Oreochromis niloticus: one gene and its partners. The protein of the gene in region 3 interacts with the protein of the main gene of each other region in a pairwise test. Links are inferred from orthologs where the notes say so. Each region holds a gene or a part of one and is shown on either strand. Other genes may lie near its edges.

Region 1 (6,988 bases), on a different chromosome or scaffold from region 3:
AAACTTGAGAAGAAGGGGTTAAATTGAATTATTTGCAAAGAATAGGAAAAAAAATGAAAAAGAGAGGTTGCAATTTACATAAAACAAAAAAGACACGAGTATTTGAGCATCAGTGGAGTCAAAGACAAAAACACCAGGGGTGGTCACCTCGTACTGCTGCTCATGACCAGTGAGTCCAGTTGAGGACAGAAATCTGCAACACACTGTAACATTTGACTCAAATCTGCTCTGTCAGTGTTGGGTCCTGGAAGTTTCTGTCTGAGGTAACAGGCTTCACCTTTGGTTGCTTTGTTTGTACAAGTCGTGATAGGCTGATTCCCCTCCTGCCTGTGGCCAGTGTGTATCCTCATGTTTATGCAGAGAGCTGTCTTATCGGTTGATCAAACGTTCAGCTCACAGGCGTCTATGGTTCGAGATTCAGCTATTTCTCTGGATTCAGTCAGTGTTGTGTTTAACCATGCCTAGAAGGTCCTTTGTCGCGTGTTCTCCTGTAACTCCAAAGCATGCCGCCACGCAGTATTTCTCTCCTTGGAGTCCATTTTGCCACCTTCCTTCACCGCCATGCAGGATCATTGGTAAATATGTTCAAAGTATTGAGGCTGAGGATTCTCTTTCACGTATTTCTGAATGTACCAGCAGGTCAGGTGAGCTTTCAGGTCCTCTTCCACCACAAAATCCATGGCTGCCTGCAATGACATGGTGCATAACAGCTCACATCAAAATCATCTGGCTTTTCCTAGGACAATGATTTAAGTGGAAACATATTCGATTCTCACTGTACCAGCTTAATATACCGGCCACTTTGTATGGTACACTTTTTCAGCTGCTCATAAATGCAAATATCTAATCAGCTAATCACATGGCAGAACCTCAAAAAGGAATGTAAACATGATCAAGGAAACCTCCTGAAATTCAAACCGCGCATGAGAATAGAGAAGAAAGGTTGATTTAAGAGACTCTGAATGTTCCTGGTGTCAAATGAGCTGATCTGAGATTTTCAAAAACAAGCTGATCTATGGGGATTTTCCCACACAGCCATCTTATGGGTTTACAGAGAATGGCAATAATCTAAGAGAAACTGGCTTGTGAGGAGAATGCACAGACTGTTTTAAGCTGAGCAGAAGACAATAGTTACAACTTAGATAACCAGTAATTAAAACTCAAGTATGAAGAAGACCGTCTCTGAATTAAGAACACGTCAAACCTTGAAGGAGAAGCGCTACAGCAGCAGAAGACCACACTACGTGCCACTGCTATCAGATAAGAACAGGAAACTGACGCTACTATTTGCACGGGCTCACAAAACTGGACAACAGAAGATTAGTAAAACATTGATGGTCTGATGAGAGTCTTAATCTCTGATGTGATATTGAGAAGGTAGGGTCAGAATTTTGTGTAAACATTATGAAAGGATGGCTCCGCCCTGCTTTACGTCAACAATTCAGCCTGATAGTGGTTTGATGGTGTAGAGGATATTTTCTTGGCACACTTTTGGCACCTTAATACCAACTGAGCATTGCCAGAGCCTACCTAAGCATTGTTTCGTAAACAAACACAAAATTTGGGTTTAAAAAATTACTTTGGCAAGGTGTTTGGCGATTCCTCTCCCTCTATAAGCATCTGGAACTTCGGTGTGCTGCAGGTCCACCGTCTTTTTTCCAACATACTCGTACAGAAGGACCGCACGATCATGGGATCCTAAGAGCAAACACAAATATTATCTCTGGCATAGGTTGGTCTTCACCTCAACTATTGCTAAGATTTACTAATTATCGATTACAAACATGACATAACAACCTGACAACATGACCAAAAAAAACAAACAAAGAACAGAAACCGCAGAAGCCTGCCACCCTGCACACTACAAGTTTTATCCCACAATTACTTCAACGTTTCAGCATTTTAAAGCTGACTCTAAGCGCCCCAGTTACATTATTAAGGTGTGGTAGCAGATTTTAATTTGCATGTAGCGCTGCAACATGGCTGCTGAGAAAGACAAGGCACGAGTGGCCAGGTACAGGCATGCCCTTGTGGAGGAAGGGTCGTGTTGCTGGGTGAAGAAAAGATAAACATCTCCATTCAGCACAACAATGGCTTCCACCATTTTCCTCTTAACAGCTGACCCACAACTGACCAGGACAAACACGAGTACTGACACACTTAAAACAGTAATATTAGTGTGTCGTAAAGGATTAATATCTATTAAAACGAAGGAGACTTAGTGTAAAACTTTAAAATATGTTTAAAGCACTTGAGCTGAACGCTTGAAAGGAAGTAGCACAGCACATTTGGAGGCCTGGCAAATAAAATGGTTACTCTGGAAAGTTGAAATGGTGTTTGAATCTTAATATAACAGTAGGGGCAGGTATTTTGCTACAAAGGAGTTTTACTTGGAAGATTAATACAGGAATTTGTGTATTTGGGATTGTGTGCTTTTCAAATTTGAATACTTGGTTTGAGGTCTGGAGGCCAAATACTTTGGTCTAGCCCCAAAGAAAGAAAAGTAAAGCACCGGTAATGGAGGTAAGGTCAGAAGACAAGCTACGTCTATATGTGAGCAGCCATCTGTGTCTGAAATGGCAGCTGTAGGTATCAATAAAGGAGCAACGACGACGTTAGCAAGAGCGAAAGCTAACACTAGCATCAGCTGGCACGCTAATGTTTACATGTTGAACTCACCATTCAGCCTTATGACAAACTGCCGACGCTTCTTATCGTGTTCCACCCGGATTGGAGAGTTGTTTGCATCAAAGGCATTAGCCTGTGCCGCCTGTGCCATAGTAGCGCCGTTAAAAAGTCACAACAATGACTGCTACGCTACCCTACGGGATTGCTAACCAGAAATGGCTACAAAAGCAAAACACTTCATCCAACGAAATCAGCTGTGAGGTCACGTGACGCGCGGCCAATCGCAGGCGTCGTCTTCAGAGAGGCGAAAACAGAGCGGCTTTGTAAGAAAACTCCCCTCGAGAACTCTAAACGCCTGCTGAGAAACGATAAAACCAACTGTCTGACTCCGAACGCAAACGTTTCATATGCTGCATTCACGTGACGTGGGATCATAAACAGTTATGTCTGTTAAAGACCTGTTAAAGTGGGTCTTATAAAAAGAACTTGCTGTCATGCTTACACGGTTTCGTTTGTACCTTTTCTGCTCATTTTGTATTTTTTTTTTTTTTACAATCCCTGTGAATGATTATATTTTTGCTACTTTATTTCTTTATTATTATTTTAAAATAAATTTTAAGAGAATTGAAATGTAAGTTTTGTTGTTTAATTCTGGTAGGAATAGGTATAGTATAAAGTATCTAAACACAATCGCTATAAATATTGATCGGTTCATCTGTCAATTTAAACTGATAAATGATCGGCCCTGTCCCTAACATCTTCATCTGTCACACCAACCCTCTGCATGCCCTCATTCATGGATGAGGTCTCTGAGGTCTTTTCTTTTCCTCCTCCGCCCACTATCCCTCCCCTGCACATGTCCAGAACAGCTCAGCCTTGCCTCTCTAGCTTTGTGTCCAAACCGCTCGGCCTGAACTGTCCCTCTCATATACTCATTTCTAATCCTGTTCATCTTGTCCCTCCTAGTCAGTGCCAACATCTCCAAACCACACATCATAGCTACACTAACACCTTAAATCACCCCTGACACTTGTCTCCACCCACTCCGCCTTGGCCTGCACTCTCTTCTTCACCTCTCTTATGCACTGTCTGTTGCTTTGGATGCCTGATCACAGGTATTTAAGCTCATCCACCTTCACCACCTCTGCTCCCTCCAGCTTCACTATTACACCTGTCTACCTTTCATTCACACACGTATTCTGTCTTGCTTCTACTGACTTTCATTTCTCTTCTCTCCAGTACAGAGAAAACAGGTTTGTAAAAGTGTATCAGAATTGCATATTCAATATCATATATATTACACTGTTGTGGTTGTAGCTCCTAAACTTGATTGGAACAGCCTTTCTCAGGTCAGCTGCATCTGTGATTTGTTTTAAACAGCTGCTGAAACTCTGAAGTGTGCATGTAGGAATTAATGTAAGAGCTTGTGTTTCACAATATGTTTGTACACTCATCTTAAATGTGTGATTTTATGCAAACTGTGAAGCACAAGCTGTTTTTAAAAAGGTGCCGTACAAATAAAGATATTATTATTATTATAACTGTATCACAGTTACACCTTTCCCCCTGTACGACTAATTTATGGCACTTTAGCTTTCATTTCATGGTGTGATATTTTAAAATATGTTTATTAACAGATATAGAATTTGTCCTTAAGAGGGAAATGGCACATTTGCACACAAGAAGGGATTTTATCCAGACAAGTGTTGTGTCTGAGAAATTGCTCTTGATAGCTCAGGTCAGGTCACAGCTCAGGGATTCGCAGTGGCAGGCGCGTCTTCAGCACGTCAAGCGTACAGTCAGCGGACAATAACCCAGGACACAAACTGAGCGTGTGTGTTTTTCTCCACTATACTCTTGTGCTCATGTGAGAGGAATACTTGACAGACATCAGGAGTAGGCTATAAGGACAATGTAAGCCAATACATTAACTTCACTAAAATTACTGTGTAGTAATCCAGTTAAGCTGTCGACCTAATCCTGCAAAACTCTAATGGAGTTTGCCAACTCGCTGTGGGATTACGTGTGTGTGTGCATGTGGTGTGTTTCTCTGGGACTCTGTGGTACAGACCTGTATGTGATTTGCTCTCTCTCTCTCTCGTGATCTTGCCAGAGTAAAACAGAGCTCACATCTACCAGACAGATCACAATGTGAGCCAAAAGTTCTCGCGTTTAGTTAGTCTCTGTCAGGGTGTTAACCTTGTATGACTGAAAATGATGTCCAAGAAGCCAAGGTAGGTACCTATTTACTTATTTATTACATTAAAACAAGTCGATATGAAGACAGGTATAAACTAAATGTACCTTATACTACAGTTCTAATTTTTGGCTTTTTTTCTCAGTTAAAATAAAAACTTCAGCAGACTTTCATTATGCCTGTTAACCTCATCAAATCAAACCTAGTTTGATGTTTGCTGTTTACTTGGTATGTTATGTCTTCATGAATAAAAGTATCTGCACAGGTTATCATTTTGACCAGCAGCAGTCATCACTGGCTGTATGCTGTTGGGTTTATTTCACAAGCCTTACAGCTCTCTTATAAGTAAAGTATGATATCAGTGCAACTGTTGCAAAACTAGTAATATGAAAAAGAAAGGTAGTATCTTTGTATAGAAGTAAAGAGATAGATCATCTCTTTAACTGTAACCAAATAAAGCAATAACATTAAATAAGTGTTTCGGGAAAGTGCAGATTGCCTGTTGCCAGGATTTATGTGAAGCTGCCTTAATCTTATCTATCGCAGGTGGCAGGAGACCCTGATGAACACTAAGACTAACAATCCCACACACAAGAAAGGGGGAAAGGTAAGTGCTAACGGACAGGTTTAAAACTCACAGTAAGACCGTTTAGTGTTGCTTTTATAGATGTAATTACAGGGATTATTATATGTTAAAATATGTTTACAGATTATAATCCAACAAGTCATTTACAAACATCTAAATATTGTAATTAGGTTTGACGGGACACTGGTCTCATCCTTTTTAAACCCTTCCTTACATACCTTACATCAGGGGTTATCAAACCTTAGGCCTGGGGGCTAGAAGTGTCCCGGCAAATACTCGAATCCAGTCCACTGGATGTTTTTGGAAAATGTTAAGGAGCACATAAATTTTGGACTTTTAACTGTATATCCATGAATTTTACAATCTGTCTTACTGATAAAGACTCCCCCACGGCCATTCACACTACACCAAAGTAATTAGGTAATAGCTAAACAATGAAATTGTAGAAAAGTTCCTGTGTTTTTCACTATCTACAATCGAATTTTTTAAAAATGTGTTCACTGTAAAATAAATAAATCTAATAAGAAATTTTCTGTGAATTACCAAAATGTTTTGTTTTAAAATTACAGGGCAGTCTTGACAACAAGCTAGCAGAATGTTTTCTGTAATTGTAACATTTATTTCTTACGATTTAAGCCCAAGGAGTCGTGCTAACAGATGTATTTCATTACCTACAGCAACATTTCTTTATCATGTAAAAAAACCCGAGCCGTTCTGTTGCAAGTGCGCCTCTTTTTTGTTCTATTTAGATAACCCAGACTGTGTAACCACGGACAGTTCCCTCAGACTGAGTGCATGTTTTTTGTTTTTTGTGAGATTTTCACGCATTTGATTTTGATTTATGTAGCCATTAATGGCTAAAGATCAACGTGGTGCAGTTAAGACCTGCACATATCGCCAAGTCAGGACTTAGTCGAGCATCTTCTAATTGATTTCTCTGTCGTGAGGTCCAGCCGCAGATTCATTACCTCTGCAGTTAGTGAGGTTGCATCTACTGAGACTGGAATAGACCGCCTAGATTTGCTGGCTCTCCCAGTGTGCTCAAGTGTGATTAAGTTTACAGCTTGTGTGTGTGTGTTCATGGTTGCAGTGTCGTCAGATGGTTCTTAAGCAAATTAAAAGCTCCGATCAGGATTAAATGGCCCTCTTCATTGTGTGTGTCAAAGAGGGGAAGTTAGGATGGGAGGGTGAACATGAGATATAAGTGAAAAACATGCAGAACTTCATCATTTTGTGATTGATTTCTCCTCACACAACCACTGAAGCTCTGTTTTCTCTCTCTATCACACACTTACGTAGGACCTCACATCACTACCAGCACTTGGAGGGAAGCAGGCCGGCAGCAGTGTTTCTAAAGCCCGTGTCAGCAGCGGACGGAGCAGCAGCCTGTGCAGAGGCAGCGACTTGACTGCAGCTGTTAGTAAAGTTGGTGGGAGTTTGAAAAGAGGCAGCCTCAGCCACCAGGGCTCTGCTGGCCACCCGGCTGCCAGACAAGCTTCCCACACAGCGAGAGCAGGTCCCCGCCTCTGCAGCAGCCGAAGCTTTTCATCCCTCCACACCACCTCCCTCTCTGCTGT
Region 2 (6,883 bases), on a different chromosome or scaffold from region 3:
TTATACTGCCAGAGTGAAAGTAATGGGACAGATGGGTGAGAAACATGTCAGCATGTATGAATTTCCAAAAATATTTTGCATAATTATGAACTCGCGAGCACACGATATGTTGGATGAGCGGCCAACGAGGAGGAGCTTTCTCTCTGAGTGGACCGTTCTACTGCAGGCCTGCACGCAATATGATCGTTCATATTAAACCTCGTGTGTCACTCAGACAGTGCATGAGCAAAAAAATAAATAAAAACAAGCACGCTTAAAATCAGATCCAAGCAGGACACGGGCTGATAATCTGGCAAACCGGGCATTTTTCACGCTGGGCCCACGCATTTTGGGGCCGCTGCAGGCCTTACAAGCACTGACAGCAGCCCATTGGCTCATTTTCACGAGACTGGATTTCCTACTTAAATCTCTCCGCTGCCTCCGCTAAAAACAGGCCTTCTAGTCACGGGAAACTGCTCCTGCTAGCATATGATTATTTGACTTTCTGAACAGGTTTGCTCTTAATGGTAACTCTTGCTCTTAATCAATCAATCAATCAATCAATCAATCAATCAATCAATCAATCAATTAAAACAGATATTTATGGATTTCAAAATCTTGTTTGGTTTTCAAATGTACTTTTTTCAGTGATATCTTTAATAGCAGGAAATTAACTAAGCATAGAATTCTTTTCTTCTTTTTTCAATATTTTTCAAGTAACCTATATTTGACAAAAGCATAAAGAATGGAAATTCTGTTTTTGGTGCGATACCCAATTTTTTTTTTATTTTTTTATTGGTATTATTTATCTGGAGGCGCCCTCGCTAAAGTGAGGAAGAGAGGAAGGAGGTAGATGGATAGATGGAGGATTATTAAAACCTGTTTCAATCAATTTAAAAAAAAAGGAAGAAATGTGTGAATACAATATGGATTATTGTAATACTGATACTTAATTGTCACATGTGATATTGATTTTGCATTTGATAACTAAAGCACAAAACCAAGAGAAAGGAAAGTTTATCTACAGAGAAATAAAGAGGACTACAGCAGGCAGCTCAGGATATAGCAGCCCTCCTTTGTCTAGATTGAGCAGTAAGGAAGGTGAAAGTGTAACATGACATGCAGAGTGACACTGTTTTCTTTTTCTTTTTTGCCTTTTCTTGAGATAAATGTAGAAGCAGCAAATGCAAAGTACCAACCTCTCTGTGTAAATGGATGCGTTTGTAGAATTCTGTTGATTTTTGATCTGACAGACATCTGCATTAGCGTGTTGGTGTTTAAATAAATAAATAAATAGCATATAAGAACAGAACAGAACAGAATAGGCTTTTATTCTCATTGTACATGGAATAAAAATAGAAATAGTAGGACACCAAGAATAAATGACAGACAAGAGGAGGACGGCACGCAATAGAGGACAAGATAAGCAAGTAAAAGCTTTTCTACTGTGGGCAACTTATTTATTAATTATAAGCACTTATGCCCCCCCCCCCCAATGACTGTGCATAGTTATCTATGGTTTAATATTCAACTGAGTATAAAATAAAAGTGAGAGTTCATACATGAAACTTGGATGGAAGCTGACCACATAATGTGCAGAACTTCTGGTTGTTTTCTGTACAAATGGGCGCGCCCTTTGTCTGTCTGCCTCATGCTTCATCAGTGTGCTTTCTTTTCTGTGCCCTACTTTATGATGAAATGTAGCTGCTACTTAAAGAGTTTTCACTAAAACAAACAAAAACAAAAATCAGACTAAGACTTTTTCTCCCAAACATGGTGTTGGATAGACACAAAGGATCTGTTCAGACCTCTGCCCACAGCCATAAACCACTAATTACTTATTCTTTATTTTCCGCTTCTTGTAAAATTAAGAGACTTGAACAATTTATATATTTTGTCCTAAAGCAAAAAACGTACATCTGAATAAATCCAGGTTATTTTTAACAGCTAATACCCTCACCCACCATTTCCTTAACACCACCATTTTGTTGCTCCTTAACTCCACTGACAATTTCAGACTTTAATCTTGCTTCGTATTTGCTGATTTCTCTTAATTACAATAATATGAACACGAGTTTATTCTTTACTTCATGTGATACAAAAAAACCTACAACTCTCTCTGAGTCAAGTACAAAATCTGCATTTGAAAAATAAATTGTGAAACTAAGGAAGTGATAAAAGAACATCTTATTACTCCATAAAACACACTCATACACACATATGTATTTATATTAACATATACATTTATTCAAATCTGATAGTAAATCATGAATTTCAGCACAGCTTTTTAGACTTTTGGTAAACTGTTTATCTTTTTCACTACACTTAAATCTATTTTGGAGAGTCCAAACTTATAACTGCCACACGCAGATTTCTGCACTTCAAAAAATATTTACATCGATCTGAGACGATTGTATTTAGTATAATGATGACATTATCGAAGCTGGTGGATATTTGAAGAGTACATGTGAGGAGGCCTCGGCCTCTAACACAAAGCACTAAAACAAGGAAGTAAATCAAGCTGCTAGCAAGCAAAACAGACTGAAATCATCCAAATATGTTTAAAATCACTTCGGAAAAAAAGCCAGTTCAAAAGGTTTTTATTACTTACCTGTATTGCAGTCCTATTAAACACATTTTTTCCATTTACATCAGCTCCGTTTTGCAGTAGAGTTATGATTTCTAATAGATTTCCAGTTGCACAGGCATTGCAGAGCTGGTCAGAGAGACTCATATCAGGTGTCCCTTTAAAACGCAATACAAAGCAAGCAAACTTATCACCTAAATACTTCAGCAGGCTGTGTTTAAGACTGAAATAATCCAGGATGGTGGACTGGCCAAATACAGAGAAATCTGAAACATGTCCCTCCCACCCTTGCATCATCCTTGGCTTAACCTGTGCAGCTCTTGAGCTGTTACTGAAAAATCATTGTTAATGCAGTAAGCTAGCCTATTGATAATTAGTTAGATGGTAATATATATGCTTTGTTTTGGTTTTTACTGCAAATATTTTAGTGAGCAATCAGTAATTTCTCAAATCTCTTTCTTCAGTCATGTCTTTTCTTAGTTTTGTGTTTCCAATTCTAAAAAAAAAGAAAAGCCAACAAACAAACAGACAAAAGCAAAGCAAATAAAACAATGTAGGGGGTATAAGACAGGTTTAGATTATATGCATCATGTATTTTACATAAGGACTGGGCACCTAATGATATATTTGTAAAATTCAATAGAATCAGTTTAGGGGTCACTCATCAAAAACAAGATGTGCAATAAATCTCCAGCTCTACTGTGTGTCAGAATCAACACTGATTACATGTTTAAAGCTTCTATTTGAGCATGTTATGCTTGTCCAGCAGCAAAATATATGCTGCCTCTCCCACCCTTCCCGAGATACTGATATACTCCATGTAGGTCATAATTAGAATATTCAAAGAAAATAATTTTGCCTATTTTTTCCTGCTCCCCTGCTGATTTTCCTGTGTGCAGATATTTTGTTGATGTCATGTTTGGGCCTGTTTATGGGAAAAGCTCCATGGAACCTTTTCACAATATCTATATGTCAGGTATACAGTAACCCACCTGCAGCCTGAAAAAACGCAATCAAAGCCAGAATTGTGACAATGATGTCTGAATGACAAAAAGTAAGCACAAAACACAACATAATTAAATAGATAAATATAAAAACTTACGTTAAATGAAATAAAAACCATAGCACGCCTTCCTCCTGCTGTTCAGTGCGTGGCATCGCATTTTCCAAACGACTCGAGCTGAAAATCCCCCCGAAAAACAGCCAAAAAAGAAAAGAAAAGAAAGAAAAAAATAAAATGTCGCCTCCACGCATGATTTCAAGCATGTGATGCATTTACTGGCAGTTCCCGCTCGTTTTCAAAAGTAATTCGAGTTTGTATTTCCGTTTTTTTTAACGGGTTACAGGATGAAAGAGGGAAGGAGACACGGAGATGACTTTCGTTAGAAATATCGCGCAGTCACCGTAAGGCGAGCCTCCTCTCCGTTTAAAAAAAAACCTCTCGGATGAATCCAGAGCTCGTGAACATCAACGACAGACGTTCTTTCCAAAGAGACGGCCTGATTGGACGGTTCCTCATTGGCTCATAGGCGGGACGGTTAACGGAACTTCATAAGACGGTAATAATGGTGGTGCCTTCATTCATTGTCCATGTGAATGTTTTGAAACGTCAACGCGCTGGCGCAGACGATGCGCGCCTTTTATTATTACATTACAGATACGGAGCAAGAAGTCTTTTTTTGTAACGTCACGGCCGGTGTGCTTTTAGTTTCTTTTTCTTTGCCGCCCTCTCGTGTAACAAGATGTGCATCTCCGATCACCTCATTTGGTGGGACAGTTATTGCGGACTTTTCACGCAGAGAATTCACGCGCAGTGGATATTTTCTTTTTTTCGGACTAGTCTCTGTAAATCCCAGAGATGCGTGTTTCTGAGGGGAATCCCAGCGGATCAGCTGCTTTTGAAATACTCAGACCAGCCCGTCCGGCACCAACAATCACGACGCGTTCAAAGTGACTTTAATCGCCTTTCTTACTCATTCTGATGCTCAGACGTCAGCAGGTCGGGTTATGTCAGGTCATGTAGACATAACCCGGCTATGTCTACATGGATAAATGCACGGAGTTGCTGCCGTTTGAGATGCCATTAGATTTTTGACTGAAGGAGAGGTTGAGCAGATGTACCTAATGAAGTGGCCGGTGAGTGTGTTTGAACAAATCTCGCAGAAAGCATAAACTTATTATACAAGTAAAGCATTGTACTTGTGAAATTAGCATTATGGTCTCTTCAAACTGGCAAACCAGCTGCCTGATGTGTACATTTTGCTGTTAGCAAGCTAAATATTATAAATTATTATAAATATTATAGTGTCTCCTTCTTTACATTAAAGTCATTCCCAAGTACTTGAAAATGTTCTTTGGGGTCATTCTTATGAGCAGGGGATACAATTGTTAATTTGTTAATTAGTTAATAAACTCGTCTGAAGCAGGTTAAGAACCTTGTTCCCTGCTACATAGTGAAGCAGAGCATTTACAACCTTCCCTCTAGCCACGATGCACATTCCCTTAAGAAAAAAAATGCTAAGGTTTTAGATTTAAAGCTTCAGTTACCTTCAACGTTTTTTTTCTCCATAGAAGGGACATCTCACATGACTTCTTTTACCCTTCAGGTAGAGAAAAGTAAAATATAATTAAAGCTACAGATGCACCTAGTTTATTCTGGGTCACGTTTTGGCATGATAATCCTTTGATACTATAAATGACACAAATTTTTTAGCCTATTTTGCACATTTGTGTATCCAAGGTGTCATTGCAATAAATAAAAGTAATAAAACTTGCAGTTCATTTTTTGTTTTGCTTTCTTCTCACAGGTTTGCACTGGAATCGACAATACTCCAGAGGCAATCACTCTGTTAGAGTTCATGAACTGGGATTTAGTGGTAAGTTCATTATTTGCAGGCTTTACTCTGGGGCATGCACACTGCGATGCTGCTCCCCCAGAAGCTACAGCAAAGTACACTACGCTCGCGTCAGCCTACTGAAAGTTTTGCTTTACATATTAAAGCTTCCTGCTCGTCTCCTTTGTGTATACACCGACTCACGGTGGTCTTCCAGTTCATCCTGTTGTCCAACTTGATGCCCAGGTACTGCTAGTACCCCACATCACATCAACATCACATCAACATCACCATGTCTCTGGCCTATTCACATCTGGGATTTCTCCCATACCTCTCCACAAAATCCAACACATCTGTGCTGTACTCCTGCTCCCGCTCATCTCTGATGTATTTGTGTAGTTCCAAGTCTGAGGCATACAAGGCGAACGGGAATGGAGACATCACCAAATGGCCGAATCACACTTAAGAAATCAAAGAAGCTTAGCAGCTGTTACTGTCTAGATGGAAGTATAACCTCTCTGCAGCATGTAGACGAATGCATCAGCCACTCCCAGATTTGGTTTGTCATGCAAACTGAAGATTGTGGCGAGATGTGCTGTGTCAGTTGTTTTAAGTGTTTTAGGGCTGAAAGGAATGCCCGGCTTCAGTGTAGTTCATTTGTCCAGAAGTTCTGACTATGCAAATCTGACGGGAAACTGTAGCCAGGCACACCCACAGCAACTGGAAGTTACAGTTAAGACAAAGAGTCTTGTTCATAACTGCTCCGGCTATGTTTAGTCCCAGTGACTGCCAAAACAGTTTCCAGCTGTTTGCAAACAAGTAATGTGAGACATTCGAAAACCTACACAGACTTTAGTCAGATTCAAAGACAGTGCCTACACGGTTCACTGAATGCCAGCTATAATGTGTTCAGTGATGATGATTGTGCTCTTCATGCTTTTTAATTGTTTCTTGAAGTGTGAAAAGAAATATCTGATATAGATTTAGATTCAAAGAATGAGCATTTATTTAATATCTGACATTAGAGCCACACACAAAAACAACATGCTAGATGACTTTATTTTGCAGTCAACAAAACTACAAAGGAGATGGTTGTTACATTTTTCTTTTCTGTTCTCTTTGGTTCTGTCACTCTTCTTCTTCTTTTGTGGGTGTTTCCAATTTCCACTTTTAGATATCAACCAGTAGGAAGCTTTTACAATATGGTGTGTTTAAATTGTAAATGGAATAGTTTGTGTAAAGTGTTTTTAAGAAAAATATGTCACTGAAGAGTCTGTGTGGCTTCTTTTTTTGGAATTTAGTCAGTGTTGGTTTCCTGAATGAAGAATATGAATTGTAAATGCCGGCAAAGCCGCTTTACCTTGCGCCTTTATTTTGAAGAGTACCTTAGCACTTCCTCTTTTATTGTGTCACACTTCCTGTTCTGCTCTCAGTGAAACCACACAAACACATTGCTTCAGAGTGAGTGAACAACCTTTATTTT
Region 3 (7,797 bases):
TTAATCCATGATTTACAACTACAGAAAAGCTTCTTTCCCCAACTTAAAAGCCACTTTGAGTGATGCAAGTGTATTCTGATTGGTCCGGGTGTGAGTGTCAAACACATAAATCGAACGACCACTAAACAAAGGTGACATTAACATCAGTAAAACATTAGCCACGTAAACAACAGCTGTTAAAGCAAGGCTTAAAAAGAAGAGGAAAAAAACACAAAGAAAAATCTGCAAATATATGCAAGGAGGAAGAAGAGAAATCCATCATTAAGTTTGGATATATTATTAACAGAAACTTGCTGTTTCTAAAACAAGAAAAAAAGATTTAGATTTGGAATATGGTGTCTTATATAGGGAAAAATCACACTGAAGTTGGATCAAAATGTTGTTGTTTTTTCCTTTTTCCATATTCAAACTTTAGTATGTGTGAAATTATTCACCCGACTTAGTTTTAAAAGGATATTATGTGCTTTATGCATGAGAAACTGTAAATAAAGTATCAGTCCTCTACAGTTTCTACAGCCTTCGAAATATGCTTTCAGTGATAGGATATCCAATTATTTTAAGGCCTTCAAGCATCCATGTTCATAGTGCCATACTACCTGATATTTACCCTAATAATGACATTTTAGTTTTAGTTGGGAAAAGGGGCTAAACACAGCCTTACTTTCAACCCCTAAGAAATAAAATTTATAACATATATATATTTGAAGTTTCTGTAAGTTGTCCGAATGCAAACTGAAAAAAATCTTTGGTAATAGTTATAGTCCAAAAGCAGCTTTGGATTACCTGTGATGACTTCAAGTGTCTGTGGGTGATTTCCAACTTTGATTAAAGCTAAACTCAAATTACAATAATGCGTGTTTGGAAGAAATAAAACAAAAGTAACACATATATGACAAAACTACCAAAATGGTCCTTGAATTTAAAGCTTGTTGCTAATCGGTGATGTCTGAACACAACCTGCTGCCTGAATGCTGTAGGGTCGTTCCACTGTCGCAAGCCTTCAGCTCCTCCATGATCATGTTTAGTTCCTCTGCGCTTCTGACCGTGAATTCCAGTTTGTGACTGTGGGAGGCGGCGCCGAGAACCTGACTCAACACCGACACCTGACCGCTGCCTGATGCGACAAAGAAAAAAGCAGTGGGGATGAAATGAAGGTCAGTGAATAAGCATCATGTTCATATCTAATGATTTAAGTGCGAGCATCACATTTTACATTCAGAGAGACTTCTCACCAAGTCCTCCAACCAGCCAGTCGTTCACGCCTCCTTTCACGCAATCCCATGAAGTGTGAGGGGAAAAGACCGCTATGCCAGCCTCCACGGCCCGCACAGCCAGCCGCTGCTTCCAGTCTTTCTGAACCAGACGCTTGATTGGCCGAAACAACGGCGGGTGATACGAAATAATGAGATCGCAGCTCACAGCCACTGCTTCCTCCATGACGGCATCTGTGAGGTCGTTGGTTAGAAGAATGGTCTTAACGGGCCGAGGTTTGCTCGGCTCCACCAGCAAGCCGACATTATCCCAAGACTCTGCAAGCGACAGTGGAGCAAGCTGCTCCAAAACCTGCAGAACTTCCTTTAACTCCATCAGACCGGACGAATGAGCTGAGGAGAAATTAAAAGATGGAGGAAGGCGAGCTGAGCTTTGTGTGCTAGGCAGGAAGTGATGACTGTGGGTAGATGAAGAAAGAGAATGAAGGACGGATGAAAAGGCAGAAGAGCACAGAGCAGCTCGGGACGTAAAACTCTGTCTAGGCCAAAGTCTTCTACTGGTGAGCGAGAAAAATGTCCAAGAGAGATTTCTACATCCAGTCAACATCAGGGGAGATCTGTGTGGACAAAAAGAAATAACTAAATAATCATAAATGTCAGACATTCACTCATATGTGACGGCAGGTTTTTGTACAAGGCTGAAACTAACAATTGCTGAGCTATCATCTTCTTCTTCTTTCCACTGTCCACTTCAGGCGTTCACCACAGTGGATCATCTGCCTCCATCTCACCTCGCTCTAAAATCCTCATCTGCATGACCTCCTTCACTACATCCATGAGTCTTCTCTGTGGTCTTCCTCTTCTCCTACTGCCTGGCAGCTGCATCTTCAATATTTTTTGTCTAATATATCTACCTTCACATACATACCTCTGCTCCTGGCAGCTTCACTATCACACCTGTCTTACTATCGTTCACACAGTGTTCTTCTTAATCTAGCTTCAAAAACGTTTTCTCATGTCTTCATGGTGTCATCTTTAACCCTCTGTGGTCCCTCTTTGTAATCTCTATACCTCCATAGGATTCTACTGATTTCCTGATCAAATTATTAGATGTCCTGTCTATGCTGAGTCTATTCTCAGTCCCAGCCTGTGCTGCTCACACTGACGCCTTCAGATCTCACATGCACTGAATGTCTGACATTTTTAAAAGAAAAAAATGTAACTTAATCCAGTGATCGGTTTTGTATGGTTTTATACGCATTTCCACCTTTCCATTTCTATTTCCACATGGATACAGATGTTGTTTCTGCGTCGCTTACAGACTCCATCCAAAGTTAAACACAGTTAGCAAACAAATACAAACAGACGGCTACAACTCTTAAGCGTACATTTTTTTAGTCCGGAGCAAATCATTCAGTAAAAGCCACACACATGCACTTTATGATTATTATAAACATTATTCATAGACTTAATACCAGCTGCTTTGAGTTGTGACAGCTGCAAAGCGTGCAGCTAACAGCAGAGCTAGTTAGCTGCCATTAGCTGCCACAGTAAACCGTCCTTTAACGTCACCACACCAGCATGTCAATATGTGCACGACTCAACTTACTGTCGCTTGTTTCTCACGGATGAAAACTAATAACACTATGGTTTTCAGTTTTTAGCTAAATACATTCTGGTGAAGTGGCAGAGGATGTACTTACTACAGAACTCGCAAGATGTCCCTTTTCGGCTTCCGTCCGCAGCAGCTTTTTTTTTTTTTTACTTTAATGAATGAATTTATTTATTTATTGATGGGGTCAAGTTATGTCTCTGGCCGTGACCATGAGCACATATATATATAACTTACAAAGTAAGTATTATAAATTAGTAATACTTTTTTCTTGTTTTTTATTTATTACCCAAAACTGGCCATTGCGCCAGCGACAAAGAAACTACAACTTACATGTAGGAAGGACTGAGCGCATGAGCAACAATACAAAGAGGAAAATAGAGAATAACAATGAATAAATAATATTAACATAATTACAAGTGATATTAATTCAGCCCAAATGAAATAAATAAATAATAAAAAATAAAAACAGAGCTTTGTAAATGTTCATTTTCTGTGACTTTTTAAAGTTTCACATATCCTTCATAAAATTTGGAGAAAGATGGTTTTAATATTCAGGAATCTGCATCGATGAATAAAATAAACAGTATTATCAAGACTTTGTTGAACTCCAGCTTGGGAAAATTTGGTTATATATTTGGTTTGGTTTGGATTTTGTTGGAAAGAGGAACTGGTGTAAGTTTTACTCCCCTTCTCTGTTTGGCATTTGTGTACATCTCTTCTATAATTGGTTTCAGTGCTGCACAGATTGTTGGACGCTGATAGAAAAGACCTCCTGTGTCATCTTTAGTTCACCCCCAGGTCTTATTAGTCTACACCTGAAGGCGCTCTGGCGTGACTCTGATGCAAGATTAGAGGCTGTGTCCATTATGCTGACAAGTTTCCTCAGCACTGAGAGGACAGAAGTGGATTTCCTTAAGACCGTATTGAGTCAATCAGCTGTGCTGTCCCAGTACACTACAGCATAAAAAATATGACGCTGGCCACCAAAGAGTAAGAAAACAACAGACGCATTGAAAGATTCACAAGTGGCTCACTGTTTAGCTACAGTATTCATTTAAAGGAACAAAACTTGTGCACATTTTTCAAACAGAGGCCAAGAGGAAGTTAATTAGCTGAAGGTGAAGCAGCTTACTGATCTCTTTATTACAGGTCGGACGTCAGTAAGACTGAGAAGCACAGAATTTCCTCATCACTCACTTCTCCTGTCCCACTCAGTCCTTTCTTTTTCCGTTAAGGTAGTGCAAATAGCAACAGATTTGTTGAAGTATTTGTAGCAGTGGAATAATGAAATAACAACATTTGAGCATCCCAAAAAAACAGTTAAGAAAAACAATATTTCTCAAGTCGTTACGGTTCGGCTTAGTGTTTTTCAACAACAAGCTTCTCGGTGTTTATAGCGCTGGTGTTATGCAATATTGTCTGTACGCAATGTTATAAAACAAATTCACAGATTAATGTGAGCAAGCAACAACTGAATGACTTTGATAAGCTGTATTTACTCTCACAGGGCAGGTGCTCCAGCAGCAGATACCCCGCAGTGCATCCGACTCTTCTCAGAAAGATTAAAGCTAACCAAATGAAATCTGCCTGGGGAAGGGGCTATCAGTGCAATAAGTTAAAATGGTAAGGCTTGTTTTTTTGTGTTTTTTTAATGTGTCTGGCTGAGAAGAAGTCACTGGGTATAGAGGCTACATCAGAATTGAGTCTGAGAGCAACCAAGAGAGAGATTACTGAGGATTAATGCAATAAAGGTTGACGCTGGATGTTAGAGGGATCAGGAAGGATCAGGGCAAAGGCCAGCCAGTGAGCATTACATCATCGGATTCTTCCTCTGGACTCATCAGCCCTCGCTTGGCACTACATCCATAAGGTTAAATGTGCCCCCCACCCTCCTCTTTAAACACCCTCACTTACATTAGTGTGCCATTAATAGCAGTGAAATCTTTCCTATGTCACTTTTTTTGTTTCAGTGTCTCTCTGAGTCCCAATCCACATAAAAGAACAATCATTTCAAAATAAAAGTATTAATATTAATACTAATAGTAATAAAAGACGAGATATTTAGTTACTTTTCCATTAAGCATACCGACAGAGCGATCACTCTCTCTGTGGAGCACCACTCACAGATGTGTGTTTAGTAATTAGGTTCACTTTTGTTCATTGGCAGCATAAGTCCTCATGCCCCATCTGTCTGTCTGTTTGATGCTGTGCCCAGTTTGTCATGCAGCAACATCTGCCTGGCTGGTGTTCCCCAAATGTGACAGTACAGTGTGTCCCGTAGCACATCCCTGAATTCAGCCCCAATATTTAATCCCAGCTGCGCTGGCTCTGGATCCGTATGACACAATTACTGATCACCAACTGCAAGAATGATTTAGTCCACAGGTTAAAAAAAAAAAAGAAAGTGTTCACGTGCCACAAATTTCACTCAACTTTTCTTTTCCTTTCTTTTTTTAATGGATATGGGGTTATAATACTCTTTAATACTATTAAGCTCCTCTCTGTGTTTTATGTCCATATTTCCGTGAAGTTCCCAACTTACACAGAGTATTAACCTCAAATAATGGCTCAGACTGTCTCTCTAAAAGGACAGATTCTGGGACATGAACCTCTTTTTTTGTTTTGGGGGAGGTTTTTTTGCTCTTAATACCTTTAAATCTGTTATGCATCAGTCACAAAATCCCAAATTTCTGCCTCTTTTCAGTTACAGTTTCTTATTGTCCTTCCAAAGTTTTTACTCAATCCTAGTAGAACAGAGTCCCTAAACTTTTTCATGTTTAAATCACTTCCTTCTGGCATGAAATGACTGCACATTACTGGAATGCAAGAAGTCACAAGGACAATATGGTCTACGCTTAAATGAGTCAAGTGTCTGTGGGTTTCTTTCAGGCGGACACAGAGAACTTTCTTGTTCCACAGATACTCCTGAATCCTTTTCAGATGTTCAGATCAGATGTTTTATTTTGTGCTTTGCCAAAGAAAGGCAGATCCATGTTACTGCTTCACTTGTTGGAAGTTAGTTACAGATTACCTAATACAACCAGCTCAGGTTAATAATGTACAGTACAGTAGTAGCTTAACTTTACATCCTGCTTTGTTGTAACATTGTTTAAATGGTAAGAATAATTCAATAACAATACAAATATAAAAACAATTCCAATTCAACAAACTTCCACTGTATACAGTATATATCAGGGTTGTCAAACATGAGGCCCAGGGGCCAGAGTGGGCCTGGCAAAGACTACAATCTGGTCCACAAGATGCCTTTGGAAGATATGCATACATTTTTGGACTTTTCAATGTATTGTAACAAGTTTTGGAGTTTTTTCCTGCTGATGAAGACTTTCCTCGTGCCCATTCATTCTACACCAAAGTAATTAAGTAATAGAGAAACAATTAAACACAGAAAATTTCATTTTTTTTCACTATTGACTATAGAAGTTTCATTTTTTTACAATAAGTCCACAAAAAAGGACACTATCTGTGAAGTAACAAGAACTTTCTGATTTTTTTCTGTAAACTTACACAGTTATTTCTCACAATCTTGCCCAGAGAGTCACGCTGAGAGGTTTCTTTCATTTACCACAGCAGCATTACTTTATCATGTGGAAAAACTGAGACACACTTGCACTTCTTTTTCTTATATTAAGATATTTCAGTGATTAAATATATACTTAGACTTCTTTCCACTGCCCACTAAGGATCAACTAAATGAGTTTGACATCCCTGGTATATATGATGAAACATAACAACAGAGTTTTTTTATTTTAGCACTCTTACATTTGAAAAATCATTACAAATTGTTATTATTTGCATAGCTATAAAATCCGCTCTGAGATCAGTCTGATATTGCTTGTTTCCAGCATGTAATTTTAACATTTCTTGTGTTTGTGTTGTTTTTGCAAGCCCAGAAAAGAACAGCATCAGTGTTAGTGCGTGTTTGCAGAGGTGCAAATGAATGTTCCTGACTGGCCTTGTCCTGGACTGTCATTGATGGGACATCATTCTGACAAATTCTGCAAAGGAGAAGAAGACGCGGATCAGTTGCTTCACTTCACTGCACTGTTACTCTTTACTGATGTAGGCAAAAGACAGTCTGTACCTTCAAAATCTACTGTGCCATCCCCGTTGTCATCGGCCTCTTTCACTATGGCATCGATTTCCCTCCGGCTCATGTGCTCTCCCATCAGCTTTATCATGGCTGATCGCAGCTCCTCTGTTGTGATCTCTCCATCTCCATCCATGTCAAACTAACAAGAGGCAGCAAACAGCAGAGAGCAGCTTTTAATCACAGCTGTGATGATAATGATCGCCATCTAGCAGTCCAGAAGGCAGGTAGCTGGAAAGTTTCAGAAAAAGCTCTTCAATCTCACCTCTTTGAAGGCATCTTTCAGCTCCTTCATACCGATCATTCCAGACGTCTCTGCCAGCAGTTTCGGGGCCATCAACTCCACAAAGTCGTCAAAGTCGACTCTGCCACCGACTAGAGGGGAAAAAAGGTTTGACATGTCTGTGGGCTTTTCTGTCTCTCATCAAATCTAGATTAAAGCAATGAAAACAGCCGCTAACTATGGGATTCCTCAATAAACTCAACTTTTAAACAAACACTTTTTTAAGGACTCACGGTTCATGTTGATATTTTGGCTCAGCTCGATCAGCTCCATCTCAGTGGGCATATAACCCATTGTCCTCATCAGGTTGCCCAAGTCCTTACAGCTGATCAGTCCGTCCTTGTCTTTATCAAACTCATTGAATGCATCACGCAGCTCTGCAGAGGTTTAAAGTAAAAAAAATCAAATCAAAAAATGAAATGTGCAAAGTGTACAAATGTAGGTAAAAACCAATGACGTAGTCATAAAAATGAGAAAACAAAAAAATATTACCATCAATCTCATCATCAGCCAGCTCTCTTGTCTGCACAAAGAAATAATAACTGCTTAACTTCAGTATAATATGAACATTAAGAAGAAA
Region 4 (7,862 bases), on a different chromosome or scaffold from region 3:
ACTTCCTTCGAATCGTTAATCTCCGTTTCTACCCGTTTATGTTTCTACAGTGGAATCACCAAGATGATCGCTTTAAAGTCTCTGGGTGATGGTTTTGTATCTTTGACTTACATTGTCAGCTTTGTGTTCATACCTAAATACTAAGAGAAAGATCACATTTGTCCTCATTAGGATTTGTGTTAGTGTGTGAGGCTGTATTGTTAAGAGGTGAGTATGAGACAGTGAGTTTTAGATCATTTTACAGAGTAACATTAAAGTAATGTAACAAGTAGTATAACAAATGTCTTTCTCCTGGGAGTAATTAAATAACGTACTGCATTACTTTTAAGAAAAGTGTTCTGTGTAATATGTGCAACAACTTTTTACATTTATTTTTTTGAGTAGTGACCCCAACACTGATCACAACAAAGAGGGGAAATGCCTCCAACACGCACAAACATTTCACCACGTAGTTAATTACATACGTAATTAATTTGCATGTATTTGATATGCTGCTTAGAGGTGCTGGCGACTCTCAAAGTGGAGGCAATGAGAAATCGATAAGGAACCGAATCAATAAGCAAAATCGATAAAGAAATCGGAATCACTAAATTCTTATCAATTCCCATCCCTACTGCTATTTAACTTGTCCATTTCTCCTAAGTCTATAAATAACATGTCAAACTGTATGCTAGCTTTTAAACACTAATGTTCTTAAGCATGAACTTGGTGTTTTTATGCATTTTGGTGTGACAACGAAAAAAAATTTTTTTAATAAAATTTTGGCATTCCAGATTTAGCATAGATAAACAACATCAGAATTGACGAAACTAAACAGGAAATATGATGATGCCAGGGAGGTGTTAATAGGCTGAAAATTATATTCTCGTCTGTTTAAAGAAGGAAAAATGAGCAGCAGGGGTAAATAGCAAGATGAAGGTACCACAGAAGACAAGAGAAAAACCAAAAAAATAAAAATAAATAAATAAAAGAAAGACACTTCGAGAATGCATGAGTTGCACTTACCACAGGACACTTTTTGTGGCGCTGGTGGTGGAGGCAGAGGCAGACTTTCCCTGCTTGTTTTCTTGGACTTACGGCTCCAGCCATTTCCCCTCTTCTTCCTCCGCCTACTTGCACATGGCCCAGCCACAGGAGTGTAAATACCTGAAACAAAACATATTGACTAAGTTCAGGAGTCCAAGACAAAAAGAACTGCAAAGGACTATTTATAGCTTTTCATCCAAATTTTACTGCTCATATTTGATCACAACTTTCAACAAGAAAAATTCCTGTTAAGATCATGGTGTGTACACAATGTTCTTCCCCACACAACACACCGACCAAAAAAAAAGTTTTAACCACCAAAAATTATTTTTAAATATTATTATTTTAATTAGGGTAATAATCACTGACATATAATAATAGTCAGAAATGCACAAAAGGCACCGATTTATGTGGGGAAAAAAAGTAGCAGCTTCATTGCCTTAATGGTAGAGGGACACATTTTGCATATAAGCAGAGTCAATCAGGGCAAAGAAGGCCAACTCTGAACCACAAAAAAATCTGGCACACACACACACACACACGTTTTCAAATCATCATTAATCAGCTTGAAAACACTTAAGACCGTACTTCGGGTTGGCCAAATACTAAAGAGCAGTAAACTTACCAGTTTCTAATTGATGTGCGAAAGATGTAAGAGGAGTTTCTGTCTCCCTGCAGCTGCTACTTATTCCAGAAGTACACACCGACTCCGTGCTTTCTATCTCATACCTCTGTACAATTCTCTCTGGAGAAACTGAAAAGCATAAAAAACACACAACACATAATGGCAAACTATTTGAGATCAACTACAGCAGGACATAATCTCAAGATCCTCACCTGTCCTCCTTTTCTTGTGGGACACTAAGGGTAGCAGGTCATGACGGGTAAGGACTCTTAGAAGTTGCAGTAGTGGTGCCAGGTTTCCATCACTAAGGTATCCTCTCCTCTCGAGCTGTAGCAACAGCTCAAGGCCACTCTTGGGTTTTGGATCCAAAAAGGGCTGCTGTGACACCGTAGGCTTTAATCGCTGCCATGCTTTTAGCAGCTGTGGACTTGGGGCCACACCTGGATCATCTGGATTGTCCTCACGGGGTTCAACTGTCCAGCCTGCTGGATCGAGAGGATGTGTTGCGGAGCAAGTTTCATTCAGAAGGAATGACAGGACTTCAATGTCAGTCTCTGTCAGCTGAGAACCAACTACTTCAAAGACTTCATGGAGAGACAACATCCCATAGTAGTTGAGGCACTCTGTTTCATCCCAGTACAGTGAATCCCTGAGCGGGTACCCTTGATGATGCACTGCAGCCATGGTCAGGATTTGGTTATGGACCTTTCCCACTTTTCAGCCAGTGATAAGACTACAAAAACAAATACAAAAACAATTACTATTAAAGGTTTTTAATGTCTAACAAGATACATCCGACTAACCATATAAACCAGATAAGTAGGGTTAGGTACTGAGCTGGTACTTTTGAGGGAACTGACCAAAAAATGTCAGTGCTACTGTTAATCAGCACCAAATTCTGGTACCAGAAAAAAATCTGGGTTAGTGAAAGAAAGAAAGTAAGTGTCAATCCTGCTACAACTGAAGAGGAACAAATGACAGGGCAATGGTAGTGGTGGAATGCTGAAAGCATTTTCAGGTGTGGTTACATGTTTCAAAACTCTCTCTGACACTTGTAGCGCAAAGTCCAAAGCAACACATCTAATCTGCATTTACACCTGGTCAAACAAAAATAGATCTAAAGCTGAAGAGTGTGCCATATTTTCTAGCCTGAAAGCCAAATTCACCAGAGGTCCTGCAGCTTTAACTCTAGCGCAACTGTAGCCAAAGTATAAGAAATCGAACCAATGGATGACAAAGCTTTTAGTGAGACATTGACATCTTCTTCAGGTAATAACTAGGTAGCTGGACAAGATGTCAGATAAACAGGGCTGTTTTCACTGCATTTGTTGACATTTTAACTTTTCAGCTGGTCATTTGCGGCAAGCAAACACCTTATGAGTGATGATATGTCCAAAATATTATTATCTAATAAATTGCCAATAATAGCACAACAACATTTTACACACCGCCAGCTGCCTCAGCTGTGAAAATGACCATCAGTGTTTGTATACAACAACATTAAACAGCAACGAAATAAAATGTTTCAACTGAAAAGTATGGACTTATTTTGTATGAGAAACTTTTGGATTTAAAGTATAGGGGGGAAAAGGTAAAAACGCCAGCATCAATCATCAAATGTAAAAGATAGTGAGCCCCACCCAGTGTACAGTAATATATTGGGATTTTTTTTTTTGCACATCTAAAAAAATTACTTTTTAAACAAGGTTACTGAAGGTGGAGTTAATTAACTAAAGACTATAATATATTTACTAAAGGACGTGGCCAAACATAACAGAAAAATTCATGTAGAGTCAGGTTTTCTTTAACAATTAGTGGATCAAATTGTCCGTATGTGCATAGTCACCCTCCCCTAAAGGCCTGTTCTGAGCTAGGAAAAACCCTGTAATCTATGTACACATAATGGATTGTACTTAGCGTTCCTGTAAAGGCTGCAATTCTCATTTAACAGGTTTGACCTCGAGTTTCTTCCATGTTCTATACTCCTACTTTTATTGCATTACATACGTAGCACTAAAAATGTCATCTGTGTCTGTTTAAGCTATAAAACGCTGCTCCAACAAAACGGTCAGACAAATCCCGTGTAGCTACATATAAACTGTATTTATCTATAAAACCCAGCAGGCCGTTTGTGCTATGTAACACAGTCAATGATCATGTTGGCGTAATACTGCAGCGTTACGCCCGTTCTCTAGTCTACAACCATTATATGGCTGCATCAGCTAGCTCAGCAGTCCTTGCCATTTTCACCCTCAATTCGAAACATTTTTTTAAACACGTAACGGAGGACCCCCTTATAACCACTTTGTTTCCATTCAGGTTCAGTAACACACACTAACCAGTTGGAAGCCAAAGATAGTAGCCGTTCTTCAGACGCCCAGTAACAACCGGTGAAGCAAAATTTTCCCCTTTGACAAGTTATGTAACCAGTCACGTTTGTCTGTGGAAAAAGCATAACAAACATCAAGAAGTGCAATGCAAAAAGCGGTTTAGCCAAATAACAAACCTGAAATTAACAGGTGTGCTACATTGCTAAATACGTACTGAAACACATAGGATTAACTATACGATTAAAAAATATTTTTTTTCCTCTGTATGCATTAGCGATACATACAAAGGACAGAAATGGATATCGCTTGCTAGCTCCTAACGTTAACTTACTTCAAATATAAATTGGCTGTAGTATCGACGAGCATTGGGTCACATACATGAAAGCGTGAAAAAATGCACCAATAGATAAATATTCAAAGCATTTTAACGCGATAATATTCAAGAAAGCCAAAGTAACTAGGGGGGACTCACCTCCGAGTGGGCTGAATGATCTAGTAACTTCCACAGCAACGTGCAGTTCTGCACTACGTCAACGCGGAGGAATTGACCAATCACAGCCCTCTGACTTCCACGGCGACGCCCAGTCACGTTTTTGCTCTCGCTGATCTGCCAGTCTTCTTTTGAACTGATCTGAAGACAGTTTTTCCTAAACAGTCACTTTGTAGTATTGAGCAAGTCAGTAAAGACAGCTGATTCAAGGGCGCCCCCTCCCCCTTTTTTAAATTTTACTTTTTTTGTCTTAGCTTCGACGTGAAAAAACAAAACAAAAAACAAAGCAGCACTTTAAGCGAGCTTTGCTGCGAAGTGTCCATAAGCATATAATCACAAGAATATATGTACTGCTGCAGGCTACACCCAAACATAGGAGAGGGAAAACTGCTGGATGCTGTCAGTAGGTGGCGGTGTTTGGAACCAAGGCAGCTAGGAACAACAACAAGGAAGGCAACTAAGAGCCACATCATATCCGTAAACTAAAACAGCAACAAAAGGTCTGAGGCAGTCCCGTTAAACTCATCTCCTGCTGTGAGTATATGTAATTAAACCATTGTAAATTTGGCAGTTGATATCGTTCATTTTTATTTCGGTTCATTTTAATTAGGTGTGTAAAGTTGGGGTACGATAAAATCATAAATCCGCTTCGGCTGGAGTGGTTGTTAGCAGAGAAGCTAACTGCGACAGTATTTGTACAACCAAGAGCTATTAAGAACAACTGGGAGATATGATGGACTATATACCGGGGTTTAGAAATGCCATTCAGTTAGGATACTTAACTGATTAAAAATAAAATAAGTGAGTATTCGCTGGAAATTGTGTTGTGGAATATCCGGGCGTAAGTTTAGTGATGTGGCATTGACCAAGCCCTCTTGCTGACGAACATTTTCCTCTGCCTACTGTTGCTAAGCTCGGTCTTTTGAGTGTTGTTTCTTCAACCTCTGGGAATGACAGGATTGAGAAATGCAGGAATATAAAAACTGGTGTTGGTCACGAACTTCATACACTGGCTGATCTATGTATAAATACCTTAGTTAAGAATTTATCTGGAGATAAACAAAGAGAGGGAATCAATTAAGTGGTGCCATCACGGCGCCCTTCTTCTCCTTTTGACTGTTCTCTTTAGGGGTAACCACAGCAGATCATTTCCCTCCATCTCACTGATTATATCCTTCACCACATCCATGAACCTTCTCTGAGCTCTGAGCCTCCACTCCTTCCGGCTTCACTGTTACGTCTGCCTCACTTTCAGTCACATGTGTTCTGTCTTACTTCTACCGAGTTTCATGCCCAGATTTTGGTGTTATAATATGATGGTTTAAAACAACTTATGCTGCTAAATATAAATGTCTAATGGGAGTCAACATCATAAGTATGTGTAAAATTGCATAGCAGTTTTTTGTGTGTATATAAAAACAAATTGGCACCCCTCAAATAAATTTAATCTCTTTTGCTAATTGAGGTTTATTATAGTCAAGCTTAAAATACTTTTTTTAATGAGCTTCTCAGGAATAACAAAAAATGAAAGGCATTGACAGCAAAAGTATGAACCCTAAATGTAAACCTATATGAGTCTTACTTTGTCCACCAGTGTTGTTGTGTAGGGGAAGAAAGCTTTTTTTTTTTTTCTTTCGATATTATCTTGAGACCAAGTCAGTTTGCTTGTAGTGGGGTTTTTTTTTCATCTTTTGTCTTTTTGAATCTTGAAGTTTTTACATTTTGATGAAAATTTAAATTTGATAATGAATCAAAATAACTGCCTAGATAAGCGCCTGGTGGCATTTCAACATTTCTGTCCATTGGGGAGATTTGCTTGTAGAGGGACTTGAGAATTAGTGGTGGAAATGTTTTACAACTGGTATTTACATTCTGTGTTTTCTTCCTTGCAGTTGTCTCACAGCAGACTGTGTACATGCCGTCTGGAGTGCCAAAGGGGGAGAACTGTCAAGTGGACATGGACAGCAAGGCAGGAGATCTGTTCACAGCTGAGGATGCTCATCCCACAGGCACAGGAGGCACAGGAATCCTGGCAAAGTATGAGTTAAAATGTGTTTGTCTATCACAGATTTATCACACAGTAGAACTGACATGTGCTTCTGCATCTGTCAAACCTGCTACTAATATTGTAAGCTTACTGAGCCACCAAGTGATAGTATAAATTTTGCACGTAATGTCTTCATCTTATTTCGTAGGCTCTGGCTTCCCAAAGGCTTCTCAGCTAGCATGGCTAAAGAGTGGTTCGACAAGCGCCGATTGTCCATTCGACCTTGGGCCAGTTTTGTAGACCAGCGCAAGTTTTCAAAACCCCGCAACTTTGGAGACTTGTGCCAGAGGGTGGTGAAGAATGTGGAAATTTACAACAGCAACTACACCTTCATCTTCTTGGGGCTTATCCTCTACTGCATGTAAGCCCAAAAACATGACTTTGTTAGGAGCTCATAAATCTGTTTTGGCCAGTGAGAAATGGAAAAAGTAATAAATGATCGAACTGTTGATGTTTCCTCTTTTCAGCATCAGCTCGCCCATGCTACTGATCGCCTTGGCTGTGTTTGCCGGTGCCTTTTACATCATTCACATCAAATCTTTGGAGTCTAAACTGGTTGTGCTTGGTGAGTAAAAGTGTCTCAAATAACTCAGACACCTTCACATAAATACCTGCTTGTTGATTCACCGACAAATAATATAAATGTTTCTTGGGCAGCTGCTTTTAGATAAACCTAGCTTGAATAATTAAACATCAAATTTTAAGTTGGCTATCTTTATTCATCTATTTACTTATTTATTACCACCTTTAATTTTTTGTGTATAGAAATGAAATCAATGGATTAATGAAGCGATCTATTGTATAATTTTTTTTTTTCCCCAAAATTGTTGTTCTCTACTATTACAGTTCTCAGTAGCAATAATGTAACTAAACCACAAAAGGTCTCCTTTAAAGATGTCAGTTTAGTGAAGAGTAAGCTAAATTTATGTAAGGAAAATAAAACATCTTCATTTTTATGGAATCTTTAATTGCTGTCATAATTTATGTGTTCTCAAACCTTCAATTTTAATGTGAACCAGGCCGAGAGCTGAATACGCCTCACCAGATGAGTCTGGCTGGAGCCGTTTCTCTGCCTGTGTTCTGGTTGGCCGGAGCTGGAGCTGCCGTGTTTTGGGTTCTTGGTAAGCCAAACCACATTATACTTCTTCCATGTTACTCTTCTGAATCTTTGTTTTAAAAAAAAATATCAATAATTCTTATTGTGTTTTTCTGATTTTGGAAATATAATTAAACATATTCCACTGCTGTCTGCAATGCTAACATCTCTCTAATAGTGGAACCTAAATCTTGTTCATGCATTTGTAAGAAAAACCTTCTTCTTTGTTACTTTCCCTTCACACCCAT

What was found.
Region 1: the proteins of nif3l1 (region 3) and natd1 interact in binary tests that used the Homo sapiens proteins (3 or more experiments, as listed by UniProt). The two-hybrid records come from large-scale screens. The link is inferred for Oreochromis niloticus from reciprocal best matches to the Homo sapiens genes NIF3L1 and NATD1.
Region 2: the proteins of nif3l1 (region 3) and cyclin-dependent kinase 4 inhibitor C interact in binary tests that used the Homo sapiens proteins (3 or more experiments, as listed by UniProt). The two-hybrid records come from large-scale screens. The link is inferred for Oreochromis niloticus from reciprocal best matches to the Homo sapiens genes NIF3L1 and CDKN2C.
Region 4: the proteins of nif3l1 (region 3) and rabac1 interact in binary tests that used the Homo sapiens proteins (3 or more experiments, as listed by UniProt). The two-hybrid records come from large-scale screens. The link is inferred for Oreochromis niloticus from reciprocal best matches to the Homo sapiens genes NIF3L1 and RABAC1.

What each region holds. Positions count from the first base shown.
Region 1 is NC_031969.2:14,164,985-14,171,972, forward strand, and holds the start of natd1 (protein NATD1), read right to left. Parts: upstream 3,008-6,988; 5' UTR 2,780-3,007; coding exon 2,680-2,779; intron 1,699-2,679; coding exon 1,580-1,698; intron 687-1,579; coding exon 570-686; 3' UTR 1-569. Other genes in the region: plectin, read left to right, coding at 4,843-4,862, 5,372-5,432, 6,711-6,988.
Region 2 is NC_031986.2:43,639,687-43,646,569, reverse strand, and holds the start of cyclin-dependent kinase 4 inhibitor C, read right to left. Parts: upstream 3,002-6,883; 5' UTR 2,864-3,001; coding exon 2,591-2,863; intron 1-2,590. UniProt on the Homo sapiens protein: Interacts strongly with CDK6, weakly with CDK4. Inhibits cell growth and proliferation with a correlated dependence on endogenous retinoblastoma protein RB.
Region 3 is NC_031973.2:16,633,404-16,641,200, reverse strand, and holds the start of nif3l1 (NIF3-like protein 1), read right to left. Parts: upstream 3,015-7,797; 5' UTR 2,915-3,014; exon of another isoform or gene 2,821-2,914; intron 1,829-2,820; 5' UTR 1,819-1,828; coding exon 1,233-1,818; intron 1,115-1,232; coding exon 958-1,114; intron 1-957. Other genes in the region: cabp5a (calcium-binding protein 5a), read right to left, coding at 6,814-6,842, 6,929-7,076, 7,200-7,309, 7,451-7,594, 7,710-7,740. UniProt on the Homo sapiens protein: May function as a transcriptional corepressor through its interaction with COPS2, negatively regulating the expression of genes involved in neuronal differentiation.
Region 4 is NC_031976.2:24,028,015-24,035,876, reverse strand, and holds the start of rabac1 (prenylated Rab acceptor protein 1), read left to right. Parts: upstream 1-4,851; 5' UTR 4,852-5,005; intron 5,006-6,363; 5' UTR 6,364-6,386; coding exon 6,387-6,508; intron 6,509-6,666; coding exon 6,667-6,879; intron 6,880-6,985; coding exon 6,986-7,083; intron 7,084-7,537; coding exon 7,538-7,639; intron 7,640-7,862. Other genes in the region: dedd1 (death effector domain-containing 1), read right to left, coding at 1,006-1,146, 1,652-1,780, 1,864-2,335. UniProt on the Homo sapiens protein: General Rab protein regulator required for vesicle formation from the Golgi complex. May control vesicle docking and fusion by mediating the action of Rab GTPases to the SNARE complexes.